Mus musculus: one gene and its partner. The protein of the gene in region 1 interacts with the protein of each later gene in a biochemical or structural test. Links are inferred from orthologs where the notes say so. Each region holds a gene or a part of one and is shown in the gene's direction. Other genes may lie near its edges.

Region 1 (7,452 bases):
TGGTGGCGCACGCCTTTAATCCCAGCACTCGGGAGGCAGAGGCAGGCCAATGATTTCTGAGTTTGAGGCCAGCCTGGTCTACAAAGTGAGTTCCAGGACAGCCAGGGCTACACAGAGAAACCCTATCTCGAAAAAAAAAAAAAAAGAATTGAACTCGGGTCCTCTGGAAGGGCATCCAATGCTGTTACCCACTGAGCCATCTCTCCAGCCCAGTTCCACCTCTGCTTTAAACTCTTAATCCTGTTTCCAACTCCCAAGTTGCTATCATTTTGCTTTACCACATATATTAAAACTGAGGAACTTAAATTTTTTTTTACGGTGGTCTGAAGAGATGGCTCAGTGGTTAGGAATACTTGTTGCTCAAGTCCCAGCACCCCATATGGTGGCTCACAGCTATCTATAACTCTAGTTTTAGAAAATCTGGGGATCCAACCTCTCCACCAGTGCACATACATGTGCACAGTCATACATACAAAACACCCATATACATAAAACAAATCTTAAAAAGAAAGAGCATCTCAGAGATCATGGCTTTAGCCTGGATCTTCCTCCTCTGTGTGACTTAGTAGTTTTGATTAGAAGAGAAAAAGACAAAAAGAGCCAACTGCTCAGATGTAATTTGAGTGGCTTTTCCTCTTTGTCTTGAACTCCTGTTGCTTCCTGTTTGGGGGGTGAAGACATAACTAATTTTCAACGTAAAGAGCATAGGTAGGGTCCTTCCTAACAGCAAGCCCACGGGTGTCCTCACCTAACAGTAAGCCCACGGGTGTCCTGACCTCACGGTGTCCTGACCTTGGGGATAGAGGGGAACAGAAGCAGGAGGTGGCAAGCGTCGGAGGGTTGGACTTGTTTCCAGCCATGGCTGGGGGTGGGGGTTGGGGGGATAGGAGAGATGGGTATTCTTCTGTCCTCAGAGACAGCTGCTAACTACACCAGGGACTGTACACTCACTCAGGCCCCTGCCTCTAGAGTGATCTACCTCTCTCGTCCTGTGAAACTATAGTTTTGGGGAAAAGTTTTTAGCACTCAGGTTGTGACTTGCTAGTACCAAGCCCCCACCTTGGCTATTCGTGGAAAGGAACAAATTGCATATAGAGCACATACCGAGAAAGTAGGGTTTAGTTCCTCCAGGCCGCTGCAGCTAAAACACTGTGAATCGGGCAGCTAATGAGCAACAGCAATGTATCTTCCAAAGTTCTGCAGGCCTAGGAGTCCTGGAAGGCACTGGCAGATGAGGCTGGAGTCTGGCAAGGACATAATTTTGGTCCTCAGCTGCTATTTCTTCACACGGAGAAGAGCAGAACCAGCCTCTGCAGCCTTGGTTCTGAACCACTCATCCTGTCCTGCCCATCCTCCTAGCAACCTCAAGGCTTCTCCTAACTGTCAGCAGGTTAGCATTGAGCACACGGGGATGGGGTAGGCAGGGAGCCAGCTTCTGTGTCAGGAGGCAACTCTTGGGAAAGGGTGCTCACAGGGAGAGTTCCATCCTTGCACAGGCGCCTGATCACACCGCGCTCCGCCAGCCTTGCTCCCGGCCTGTCCTGCATTCTGCGGTTTCCCTGTGACTGTGGTGTTGTCTTTGCAGGAAGAAAAGGACAAGGTGCAAGCGCAGAAGGAGGAGGTTCTCAGCCACATGAACGACTTGCTGGAGAACGAGCTCCAGTGCATTATCTGCTCGGAGTACTTTATTGAGGTAAGTGTGCGGTGCTCACCCCCACCCTGGTGCACCGGCCTCTGGCACCAGGGGATCATTCTTTAGACAAGACTCGGTCCTCACTGTGCTGCCCCTCCTTAGACACTTACATGCACAGTTACCGTTTAACTGCAGTGAAACTCCGGGGGCCACTGAGCCTGAGGGTTTGAAGTGTTGGGAATATAACTGCCCACTGCTGCTGCTGTTCCTTTCCTCTGGGTGGGCACGGCGCGCTGTGTGGACTTGTGGTTTGGCTTTGAAGCAGAGTAGTGAGTGCCATTGATTGTGTGGTCACTGTGGGTATCAGGCACCAGAATGAATTTATTTCATGGCTTTGTGGGTCCTTTTGAAAAGCAAACACCCAGCCAGGCATGATGGCCCACGCCTTTAATCCCAGCACTCGGGAAGCAGAGGCAGGCCGATTTCTGAGTTCGAGGCCAGCCTGGTCTACAAGGTGAGTGCCAGGACAGCCAGGGCTACACAGAGAAACCCTGTCTGGAAAGAACCAAACCAAAAAAAAAAAAAAAAAAAAAAAAAAGATAAGCAAACACCTGTCTCCTAGGCTACCGTTTGTTACTTCGCCATGTTATCACACCAGCTATTTTAATTTTCATACATTTTCGTACCATTTGTAACCAATTCATTTTATGCTAAGTGTTACGCTTATACAGTTGAGTAGCAGGTGAGTTTTAGTCTTTTTTACACCTTTGGAAAGGAAGATGGGTGTGCAGAGAGACTGCTGTTCCCAAGCAGCCCCTAGGAAGATTGGGTGTGTCTGCCTCCTGCGGAAAGACCAGGTCTGTGACTGGAGTCACTTTGGCTGCCACTTTGGCTGCAAGTCATTCCCAGCGTAGTCTCCAGTCTGATGGGTTGCTTAGGACTGTGGGAACTGGAGGGGAGTGGGAGGAAAGGGAGGCAGAACCGGGTGCTGAGCCAGCCGGAGCAGAGCGGAGCCTCTGTGAGGCGGGGCTGTGGTGAGTCTGCCTGTGGGCCTGGGAGATTCGCTCTGTTGTGCTTGAGAAAGTAAGAGTGTCCCTTTCACATTGCAGGCTGTCACCCTGAACTGTGCCCACAGTTTCTGCTCCTTCTGTATCAATGAATGGATGAAACGGAAAGTAGAGTGTCCCATTTGTCGAAAGGACATTGAGTCCAGAACCAACTCCCTGGTTCTGGACAACTGCATTAGTAAGATGGTGGATAACCTAAGCTCAGACGTGAAGGAAAGAAGAAGTGTCCTTATTAGGGAACGGAGAGGTGAGTGGCTCTGAACTCCTACTCCCTGACAAAGGGCTTCCTTACTTAGCTACAGCAGGCGTTTTTACAGGGTGAAGTTGGACAATAGAGTTTAGTAAATGTTTTTGGAGTACAGGCAGGAGAAATGGGAGTATCTGCAGAGTTCAGGTAGCCCGCATAGGAAAGAACCGAATTAGAGTTAGTCTCTGTTGTTTGAGCTCCACCTGGTAGGTGTGTTCCCGCTTGCTCTGGAGCAAAAAGCTGGGCCAGAAAACAGTCAAATGGTTTGCTGTCTGCACACCAGGTGGTGCTGTTGCTGAAGGCAGCCGGCCAGTTAGAGATGGAAATACATACATAAGCTCTGTAAGGGCTTAGGGCTGGGGTGTAGTCAGCCACAAAGCCCTGGGTTCAGTCCCTAGCACCACTATTCACACACACACATTATTGCGTCCTGGTGGGTTTGATAACACATCTCCAGTCAGGGGACTTGGGGTGAGAAGATTGGGGAAGGGATGGCAAGTGTTCCTGAACTGTCCCTCCTAGTGAATATCTGTCCATTTAAGTCAGTGGTTCTCAACATCCCTAATGCTGCAACCCTTTAAAGTAGTCCCTCTTGTTGTGACTGACAACCATAAAATTAATTTGGTTACCACTCCATAACCATCTGTACGTTTGCTACTGTTATGAATCACAATGTAAATATCTGTTTCTGGTGGTCTTTGGGGGTCGTGCCCACAGGTTGAGAACCGCTGGTTTAAGTGATGCTGCCACACTAGGGGCTTGCTGTGTTAATGCCGCAGAAAGCCACTCCTTCATGTTGCAGCAGAAGATTCTTGGTGCAGAACAAGGAAGCTGCTGGGTATTGCATAGAGAGCCATGGCACAAGAGGCGGGGTGTCCATGGCCGTCGTGTTCTGTTGCTACCTTCTGGGAATTGGAAATTAACTCAGCTCCTGTCTGTGATGCTGTCACATGACCGGTGTGTGGGGGTTGGGTGGGGGTGGGGTGGCCTGGTTATACTCCTGAGCTGAGAGATGCTGGGCAGCATAGAGGCCAGATGCTGGTCATAGCAGTCGAGTGGCCCTACAGGAACCAGCTTTTCCAGGTAGGGACAGGGATCTGTTGCTGACACATGTGCATCCATAGTGTGAGACTGGGCTGGGTGCTGTGGATGCCGAGTGGGAAGGGTTCCTGGCTAGGAGTGTGAGCTGACCCTTGACGTGTGTGCTTGCTGCTTTCCTGATACCTGCTAGAGTATTTTGCTCAGTTTAGAGTCTCTATAAGTTTTACCTCTGCCCTTGGTTCTGGCAGAAGCCCATTGCTCTTCATTTCCACCTGTATTTCCATAGGAACATGACACTAGCCCTGGGAAGAGAGAGAGCATCTCACTTCCTCTCACGCTTACCTGAAGGTGTTGTGTGGCTTCAGAGGAAGGACCGCTTACGTGGGTCTGGGCAGGTGGAGATGAGAGAGGATCCTGTAGAGGAAGCCATGTTTATGCCAAGCCTTACAGCTTTCTGGTTGCTTGCTTTCCAAGCCAAGAACATGACACAGTTTGCAGAACAGCCAAAACTGGGAGGGGCCTGCCAATGGCTTGCTTCTGTCTTCCTGGGAGTCAGATTAGATAAGGAGCAGGCTATGACTTTTGAGCGGAAGTGTGTTGTCTGGGTCAGGGTGGGATGCCTATGAGAGTTTCTTTTTTCTTTTTCTTTTTTTTTTAAGATTTATTTATTTATTTATTTATTTATTTATTTATGTAAGTAAACTGTAGCTGTCTTCAGACACACCAGAAGAGGGTATCAGATCTCATTAAGAATGGTTGTAAGCCACTATGTGCTGGGATTTGAACTCAGGACCTCTGAAGAGCAGTCAGTGCTCTTAACCACTGAGCCATCTCTCCAGCCCCCCCCCCCCCCCCAGGAGAATTTCTTTGCCCAGCCTATGTTGTTGTTCAGCTGATGACTGGAAGAGCCCAAGTCCGTCTCTGTCCTCTTATGGAGAGTCACTTGCATAGACTAAGGACCACAGTCCCTCCTCCCTTCTCTGCAGAGGCTAAGCAGGCTATCCCTGGGCGCCTCTGGAAAGAGGAGTGACTGTTCAGGAAACCACGCCCTGTTGCACACCCTGATCGCAGCATGTCTGGCAGCCAGTTCTCACCGCAAGTGCAGCTTTGCGACCCGTTCTTTAGACAGGCAGAAGGTTCTGTGCCTTGATTTAGGAAAAGATGTACCAGAGCCACCAGCAGCGTTGTTGGGCTGCAGTCTGGGGGCCAGCTCTCTGTGAGTGTTCAGCTCTCTGTGAGTGTTCTGGCTGCAGTGTGGGGGCCAGCTCTCTGTGAGTGTTCTGGTGCCATTTGAAGGCTGGTTTATTCCTTAGTGCGTGGGAATTTCTAAAAAGAACTTAGGATCTGGAATGGAAGAGTGTTCAGTGGTCAAGAGTACTTTCTGCTCTTCCAGAGGACTGTGTTCAATTCCTAGCACCCACATGCTGGCTTACAACTGCCTGTAACTCCAAAGGGATCTGACATGTTTTGGCTGTTTTAGGCACCAAGAATGCACATGGTGTGCATATATGTGTAGGTAAAACACCCTTACATATAAATACAACAAACCAAGCGAATACACAAAGAACGCAGGCTCTGTGTTTGGGCAAGGGTTTGGTTGATTCTCACGCAGATGTCCTGTGCTCTCCAAAAGCAGGGCCTTCCTCAGCTTCCCTGACTGTAGGTTTAGGTCCCAGTGGGAGCAGCACCTCCTGACTGGTTAGCTGTTGGGGGTGGGGGATAGTAGGAGGCTGGATTAAAGCAGGATTAAAGAAGCATGCCTTGCAGGTGGGGTAAATAGCACATTCAAATGCCACATTTGTACCAGGGTCACTGTGGCTGGCTGTGTAAGGGGTCACTGTGGCAGGCACCTTCTGAAGGAAAGGGTTGAAATTCCCCGTGGGGAGATGGTAAGGGGAGGGCCATTCTTGTCAGATTCTCCCTCCCCTGTTTTCTCTGCTCCCCTTAGATTAACTATGTTCACACAGTTTCCCCAGCCGTGTCTCCTCCCCTTTTCCTCCAGGTTTTGTGGTGGTTGTAGGGTGGGTTTGAGAGGCCAGCCTGAAACTCAGAGCCCTCCTCCCTCTGGACTTCCCAAGTGTTGGGGTCTTAGGCTTGAGGTGCTGTGCTCAACTCCCCTGAGTTTCGAAAATGAAGGAAGCGGGGCTGGAGACAGCTGGAGGGTTGGGGTCTTCACCCTGCATGGGAGGAGAGGCATAGGAACCCAAACGATCTGCAGGTGAATTGTTCTTTCTTTCTCAGCTCTGGCTCCTACAGACTGCATCCTCCCAACCCTCCTCCCCCACCCCTGTTCCCTTGCTATTGTAACACTAAGTTGAAGCTCTTGATGAATGTATGTGGAGAGAAGGCACCGTGAATCTGTGAGTTGGGCTGTTCTGAGTTGAAGGCTCCTAGGAAGATCCACCTTGCCTGTGACTTCAGCCACCCCTGTTTAGCTAAAGGAAGGTGGTGTAGAGAACAGAGAACCAGCAAGGGTCCCAGACTCCAGACAGGTCTATCCGCTCCCCTGGAAGTGTATCTGATGTTGCCCAGCTCCTTTCTTAGAAGCCAGCCTTGACAGGATTGCTTGGTGGGTCAGCAGCCTTCAGACTGATGAAGAACTCACCGGAGAGAGTGTTAGATTGCAGACTCTGAGCCCTGTCCTGAGACTGCTGTTTACCCAAAATCAACGTGTAGGGTATGGACTGTGTGCCCAAGGAAACGGCTCAGCAAACTTGCACTCAAGGACTGGGATTGTTTATGGAGGTAGGGTCTGCTGTGTAGACCAAGCTAACCTCTAACTCAAAGAGATCTACCTGTCTCAGCCTCCCCTAGTGCCACCATGCCCAGATGGACGGTTTTGATTTTTTTTTTTTTTAATTTTTTTGTTTTGTTTTGTTTTGTTTGTTTTTCGAGACAGGGTTTCTCTGTACAGCCTTGGCTGTCCTAGAACTCACTTTGTAGACCAGGCTGTCCTTGAACTAAGAAGTCTGCCTGCCTCTGCCTCCCAAGTGCTGGGATTAAAGGTGTGCACCACCACTGCCCGGCTTGTTTTTGACTTTTTAAAAAATTTATACTTTGCAAAATTATTGCTAGGTAAGAGTTAACAGACGTTACTAGACGTATTTGTCTGGTTTCTTCATTAAAGTAAGAGTTGTCTTCTTGAATTCCTTTCTCTTTTCCTCCTTATTGAGAGCTCAAATACAGTTAGAGATGACAGGAAGGCTGGGGGATGGCAGAGTCCTCACAAGATGAGAACTCAAGTCTGACTCCCAGAGTCAATTAAGCTGGGCATAGTGGAACTTAAAATCCCAGCGTTGGGTAGTGGAGATGGGCATGTCCTTGAGTCTTGCTGGGAGCTTCCTCAGTCGGCCTCAGGCCATGGTGTAAGAAAGACTGTCTCAAAGAACCAGGTGGACAGCTGAGGAGAGACACTTAGGCACTGAGAGAGTTGACCAGCCTCCCCTCTCATGCACAGACACATG
Region 2 (7,170 bases), on another chromosome or scaffold:
TGGGCACGGTGGCAAACACCTGTCATCCCAGCACATGGGAGGTGCCCGCCAGACTTGGCTACATAGGAAGTCAGGGAGCAGCAGTGGCAGGGTGGGGTAGAGTTGGTCTTGAAAGTGACTTGGGTGCTGTGTTCCTAATGGCTGGGAACATAAATTAGATACAAATGAGACCAAGGTACACAGCGGGATGCCGGTACTGACTCCCTTCTGTTTGCTTTGCTCCAAAGGTGATTATCGAGATGATCATATCTTTTCCCTTTACTTCATGATACCATTTTTCTTTACCACCTTGGGACTGCTTTACCACAACTGGTATGTAGGCCTATGGATGAGAGAGGAAATGATTGATGTATGTGGCAGAGATGGGCTTGACATAACCCAGCTTCTAATGAAGAGACTAAAATTGCTCATACTTTTGTTGGATATTCTCTGGCTCTGCCATTGGTAGTAGTTTGCCACTCTTGTGTGAGCACAAGCACTCGTCTGGTGTGTGTGTGTGTTTGTGTTTATGAACAGGGTATTAAATCTGAGGTCTTAATGCTAAGCAAGCACTTTAGATTTTAGCTGTATCCCCAGACTTTTTTTTTTTTTTTTTTTTGAGAATAGGGTTTTAGTAAGTTGCCCAGGCTGGCCTTGAACTTACGGTGTTGTCAGGCTGGCCTAGAAATACAGGCATGTGCTATTAGATCCCACCCTTCACCCCACCATCTGCACACCCTCGTGCTGGGGATCAAATCCATGACCTTGTACTCGCTAGGTGACTGCTTGCCCGGTGAGCTACAGAGCAGCCTGGTGCTGGTGTGGAATCCCTGCCTATCCTGCAGGAGTTGGGAACAAATGCTGTGTAGCCCCTAGGAGTAGATGAGTTGGGGGCCGTGGGGCCTATAGAGTTTCTGGAACAGCCTTTCTTTTAGAACTCAGGGTCAAGGCTGGCCTGTTACTCAGAGCGAGTGACTGAAAGAAAGAGTCAGTAACAACTCTTGCCATTGGCTGAAATCCTCTCTCCCACACAGGTACCCGTCCCGCGTGTTTGTGGGAGACACCTTCTGTTACTTTGCGGGCATGACTTTTGCCGTGGTGGGGATCTTGGGACACTTCAGCAAGACCATGCTGCTCTTCTTTATGCCACAAGTATTCAATTTCCTCTACTCACTGCCTCAGCTCTTCCATATCATCCCCTGCCCTCGACACCGGATGCCCAGGTAACCACTCTGGGGCTTTCAAGGGTCATAATAGTTTCTGACTTGGGATAGCTAAAGCCAACTTGCATTTCCTATGTAAAAAAAACATGAGGGGAAAGATGAGCCGACTGTATGTGGGTAGCCCATTGTAATTTACGAAGCTCGTTTACTTACATAGTATGTAATGCTTACAACAGCCCTGATCACGGAGCCAGAAACCAACTCCAGTACATAAGTACTCAGTACTCTTTTTTTTTTTTTTTTTTTTTTTTTTTTGGTTTTTCAAGACAGGGTTTCTCCTTATAGCCCTGGCTGTCCTGGAACTCACTTTGTAGACCAGGCTGGCCTTGAACTCAGAAATCCGCCTGCCTCTGCCTCCTGAGTGCTGGGATCAAAGGTGTGCGCCATCACGCCCGGCCTCAGTACTCTTCTTAGTAACCAGGGTGCAGAGGTCTCTGATTCAGTCAAATGAAATTATCTTCCCATTGCAGACTCAACGCAAAGACAGGCAAACTGGAAATGAGCTATTCCAAGTTCAAGACCAAGAACCTCTCTTTCCTGGGCACCTTTATTTTAAAGGTAACAAGGTAACAGGAGGTAAGGCCCGAGGCCGCCATCCTTAACTTGGGAAAAGAGAAACCTAGGCCTTTTCAGGCCCAAGGGGAGTTTGGGAACATCAAGAAGATCCCTATTCGTGAAGTAGATCTGCATAACTGAAGTCATCTTCACCTCTGGTCCCTGCAGGTAGCAGAGAACCTCCGGTTAGTGACAGTTCACCAAGGTGAGAGTGAGGACGGTGCCTTCACTGAGTGTAACAACATGACCCTCATCAACTTGCTACTTAAAGTCTTTGGGCCTATACATGAGAGAAACCTCACCCTGCTCCTGCTGCTCCTGCAGGTACAGCTCAGGGTGGGGCTTAGTAATGCCATGGCGTTTACATCTCTGGTTGGCCTTGCTTCTAATTCCAGTCCACTTCTCCCAGGTCCTAAGCAGCGCCGCCACCTTCTCCATTCGTTACCAACTCGTCCGACTCTTCTATGATGTCTGAGCTCCCTGACAGCTGCCCTTTACCTCACAGTCTCCATTGGACCTCAGCCAGGACCAGCCTCTGTCTGGTCCGAGATGACCCTCTGGTCCAGGCCTCGCTGACACTTTTGTTCTCAGCTTCTGCCATCTGTGACTACTGATATCCTGGATGGACACCTTGCTGGACTTGAAGTCCGCTAGTTGGACTTTGCCTAGGGCTTTCATCTTGCCTTGCCCTCCCTTTCTGTCCCATCTGCAGCCTCACCAGGTGGGCTTGTAGCCTCTATTATGCAAATATTCGTAGCTCAGCTTTCAGAGCGCTAACTCTAAAGGAATTCACCTGAGCCTTGAGAGAGAACCTGGGCTAGGGCTAGAGTTAGGGCTACATACTCCAAGGTGACCTCACATTTGACTATCAAATGAAGTGTTGTGATTGGGAAGCGTAGAGGCAGGGCCATGTGCTCAGAACGGTGACAATAAAGGACTGCCTTTTACTTGTTCCTCTAGTGTAGCATCCCCTCCCTCTGTCCTTTTTAACCTTCGTGGTGCTTCAGGAGTGAACACCGGGGCTTCCTTATACTTAACTGCTCTACCACTGAACTATATGCCAAGTCTGGTATATTTATTTTTTATATAGGCATTTTAGGATAGATTGGAAGGGTTAGACCGGGTACCTTTCCCAATAGGATACCGATCTCTGTTCCATCAGACCCTTTCTTGCAAAAAAGGCCTGTCACAAACTAAGACCAGACAGAACATGTTGAATAAATATCGCAGCACAAACTTGTGATAGCATAAAAGATCACAGTGCTCCATTTTCTGGCATAGGATTAAACTCCTAGGAGGTTTCATTTCGTTTCTTTTAAACCCTCCCTCCCTTTAATCTGCACTAGGGAGGCAGAGGCAGGCTGATCTCTGAGTTCCAGGACAGGCAGGGCTACTCAGAGAAACCCTGTCTCAAACAAACAAAAGCCAGATGGTGGTGGCGCACGCCTTTAATCCTCAGGCTTGGGAGGCAGAGGCAGGCGGATCTCTGAATTCAAGGCCAGCCTGGTCTACAGAGTGAGTTCCAGGACAGCCAGGGCTACACAGAGAAACCCTGTCTCGAAAAACAAACAAACAAACCTAAAAATAATAATGAACAAATAAACCCTCCGTCTACCAGATTAGAGGAGGGAGTGGGAAGTGCTCTAACCTGGAAGGAGAACGCTGCTTATAGTGTAGACCCTTTTCCTTTAAGACCAAAGACCGACTCAAATTTCCCAGAAACTGTAGAGGTAGCTCCAAGCTCCACCCTTCTAGTCTTCAGGTTTTGTTGTCGCGCCGTAGCGTTTAAATTTCGCGCGCTCTACACGGATTGGCCATTTCCAGGGGTGAGCAGCCTCCGGCTTGCGGCCACTCCGCCTTGTCTTCTTCCCCGGGTAAAAGGTTTTCAAATTGGACCAATCACTGGGCGCGTTCTCTCAGCTAAGGCGCGTCACCGAAGGGTTAATTGCAACCAACCAGAGGTGGGTATTAAAAAAGGAACCAATCAGGAGGAAGCGGGGGCGTGTCCAGGGAGTTTATAAGGCCGGGCTTGGCCGGCCAGGCGACCGTTGACTGCGGCGGTTGGTAGTTCGTGGTCTCTCAGCGTTGTTCGCAGCTCTTCTACCTCGTACACTATGTCCGGACGCGGCAAGACCGGCGGCAAGGCCCGCGCCAAGGCCAAGTCGCGCTCTTCACGCGCCGGCCTTCAGTTCCCTGTAGGCCGCGTACACCGGCTGCTGCGGAAAGGCCACTACGCCGAGCGCGTGGGCGCAGGCGCGCCGGTGTACCTGGCAGCGGTGCTCGAGTACCTCACTGCCGAGATCCTGGAGCTGGCGGGCAACGCGGCCCGCGACAACAAGAAGACGCGCATCATCCCGCGCCACCTGCAGCTGGCCATCCGCAACGACGAGGAGCTCAACAAGCTGCTGGGCGGCGTGACCATCGCGCAGGGCGGCGTCCTGCCCAACATCCAGGCCGTGCTGCTGCCCAAGAAGAGCAGCGCCACCGTGGGGCCCAAGGCGCCGGCGGTCGGCAAGAAGGCCTCGCAGGCCTCTCAGGAGTACTGAGGGGGCCCGCGCCGAGGCCGCCCAGCCCTCCCCACACCTCCACAAAGGCCCTTTTAAGGGCCACCACCTCCCTCACAGAAAGAGCTGAGCCACTTCGGGCTGCGGCGGCTTGCCGCGTCCCCATCCTTTCTCTTTCCCTCCTCTCCCCTCCCCGCCCTCGCGCCACTCTTCCCCTTACCCCGCACGGCCTCCGGTTCTGCCACGGAGGACGCGGGCGCCGCGGCACCTGCCCATCCCGGAGCTCGTGACATCGCTTCGCCGTTCTCGGTTGTGGACGACGGCTCCGTGCGGAGAGGCTGCGGCGCCTTCCCGGAGTCTCGGCCCCTCGCTCAGACGTCCGGCCGCGGTGGGCTTGAAGGTTAGTCCCTCCGCAGCTACAGCCCCGGCGTCTTTGCTTCAGCTTGGTGCTTAGCCCTCGCCTGGACCTTTGAAAAGTGACTTGATTGCCGGGCTTAGAGGAGGAGAAATGGATCACATTGTTTCCTTCGGTGTCACCGTTGCTGGCCTCATACCAGTTGACCCTGTCGCCATTCGTAGGCCAGTGTGGTGTGGCGGGGCCAAAAATGGTTGTAATGTGAACCCAGTTTCTCTAGGAATACCTCCCGGCAAGGGTCAGAGAGACGCTTACCGGCCTGTGGACAAGAGTTCTATACCTGCCGCAGGCGACTGGCAGCCGGGCCTAGCCATCCATCCCCTCTTCCCCAGCGACTCAACTACAACCCAAACACCTAGATACCAGCACAAGCCGGTGAATCCCTGTCTGGACTGAGCCTCTGGCTTCTGAACTGGAACTTTTGCAGCTATTACAAGTTTAGAACCTTAAGTGGGGAGATTTAATGGGCTAATTTTATTAAAGGATCGTTTGGTTTTGTTTTTTTAAAAAAGTGGTTTAATGTTGAATGCTGTAGTCCCAGGGCTGGACATATAGCTCCGTGGTAGAGCCATGTGCCTGGCACATCTTGGGAGAGAATGGGACTTCCCTTTCTGCAGGCCGTGGGAGTGGGAAAGGCTATGTAATCCACGAAGATCCCGTTGACTGAAGACAGGCTGTAGGAATTGAAGGCTGATTTTTTTTTTTTTTTTTTTTTTTTTTTTTTTTTGAGAACATGAGGCAAATCACAGCGTGTTTTACAACAGAAAGGTCTCAGACTCAATTCAAGTTTAAAAGGGCTTTGGGTTTATTCATATCTTCCCCAACTCTATCAGAAGAACCACATTCTAAACTGGTTTATTAGTGGTATTGGTTACATTCAAAGATTGGCATGGACTTTCTCTAAAGAGATGAAGCCCCCAACTACTGAGGGAAAGGCAGATATGGAGGCCCCAAGGTGAGGCATATCTTCCAAAGTGGAAGTCTCAACAACCCCGTGGTTCAATTTCCTGGGATAATCACATCCCTAGGGATGGAGCACAGGGCACTTGGAAGCCAGAAGTAGGCAGTGGAGTGGCAGCCAGGGTTCCTGTGCCCTACAGACCAGTTAGCGCACATCATTAAGCTGCCGTGCAACATCCAGGATGTTCTTGGCTCCTTTGTTGAGCAGCAAGCTGGCCAGGCTGATGCCCAGGTTCTCAGCAGCTAGCTGGGCTCCTCTTGGAATGTTACGGGCAGTGATTCCAACCAGTTGTGGGTCATCTTCTGGACCATCTTCTTGCTGGATGACAGGTTACAATTTTGGTAAGAGGAAGATTACAAGCAGTTCTATTTATTCCTTCCTCATCTCCCAGTCAATACCTGAACAGGGACCTGGATGGTGGCCTGCATAGTCTCTTGCATGCTATCTGAGCCATCTAGACTCCAGACTCCACCAGTCAGGTACAGCTAGGAAATAAAATGTTTGTACCAGGATATTTAAAGAAAGTTACTTAGATGTTTCGGTGCACATGGAAATGACAGTCCCTCCCCTCATCCATTTCCCTGGCTTACTTGCCCATCTTTCATCACTGTATGCACTGCTACGGGCACGCTGCAGCCTCCTTCCTGCAATGATATGTTCCTTTGAGCTCTAAGGGCCTTTAACACCACTTTTGACCACAGACCTCAAGGGGCCAGATCAAGGTCCTCTCCATACATACAAAACATTACATACTGAGTACTTGACAAATCTCTCTCCCTACTGCCCTTCCTGGTTTCCCCACAACACCATGGGAGGAGCCCATCTTACCAGGTGCCTCAGAAAAGCCCTTTCAGCAATGCAGCGAAGCAGAGTTTCAGGATCGTGCAACACACTCACTAGGTCCAAGATATCCTGGTCCTTGGCTCGGACTTCCACGGCTAGGGCTCCCTAAAGAACAACAGGCCTGATCTTCTCTAGTAATAGAGCTAAGCATGAGAAACACACCTCTACCTGCTTCCCTGGGTCTTATGCATAACAACCAAACCTGTCCCTCTCTAAACATCTTATTTGATGGATAGCAGGTGCCAAAGGTTATGAACCAGGTTCTCTCCAGGCAAACCTACCTGACCCACAGCATACATGCATTCTTCTGGGTGCAAAATCTGTGGAGAGAGACAAGATGGTGGGATAGGGGATGTTCAAAGGCAGTGAGCTAGGGTTTGCCAATCTAGGAAGCCTGGGGAAGGCACAGGTAGGAAGTCCAGCAATGAGTCCCAATATCCCTAGCCTGGGCTTCTGGTTGTAGTGTTGTTGGCAGAATGGTCAGGAAGAAATCAAGGCAGGAGAGAGGCAGATTCAATGGGAAGCAGAACAGGGCAGCTCCTACCTGGCCCACCCGGTTCTGCCAGCCCATGCGCTGTAGGCCAGCCACAGCCAGGACGATGGCACTGAATTCCTGCAGCTCATCCAGCTTCCGGAGGCGGGTGTTGAGGTTTCCCCGCTGTGGAGCGTTGCTAAGGAGAAGTCAAGACC

Evidence for each region.
Region 2: of the proteins of Rnf8 (region 1) and H2ax, one has a biochemical effect on the other in vitro, tested with the Homo sapiens proteins (2 studies listed by BioGRID). The link is inferred for Mus musculus from reciprocal best matches to the Homo sapiens genes RNF8 and H2AX.

Annotation. Positions count from the first base shown.
Region 1 is NC_000083.6:29,633,076-29,640,527, forward strand, and holds part of Rnf8 (E3 ubiquitin-protein ligase RNF8), read left to right. Parts: intron 1-1,585; coding exon 1,586-1,693; intron 1,694-2,742; coding exon 2,743-2,947; intron 2,948-7,452. UniProt on the Homo sapiens protein: E3 ubiquitin-protein ligase that plays a key role in DNA damage signaling via 2 distinct roles: by mediating the 'Lys-63'-linked ubiquitination of histones H2A and H2AX and promoting the recruitment of DNA repair proteins at double-strand breaks (DSBs) sites, and by catalyzing 'Lys-48'-linked ubiquitination to remove target proteins from DNA damage sites.
Region 2 is NC_000075.6:44,330,891-44,338,060, forward strand, and holds H2ax (histone H2AX), read left to right. Parts: upstream 1-3,824; 5' UTR 3,825-3,871; coding exon 3,872-4,303; 3' UTR 4,304-5,187; downstream 5,188-7,170. Other genes in the region: Dpagt1 (UDP-N-acetylglucosamine--dolichyl-phosphate N-acetylglucosaminephosphotransferase), read left to right, coding at 228-312, 1,014-1,202, 1,673-1,760, 1,926-2,081, 2,167-2,232; Hmbs (porphobilinogen deaminase), read right to left, coding at 5,782-5,955, 6,036-6,122, 6,228-6,281, 6,466-6,585, 6,762-6,800, 7,025-7,138. UniProt on the Homo sapiens protein: Variant histone H2A which replaces conventional H2A in a subset of nucleosomes. Nucleosomes wrap and compact DNA into chromatin, limiting DNA accessibility to the cellular machineries which require DNA as a template.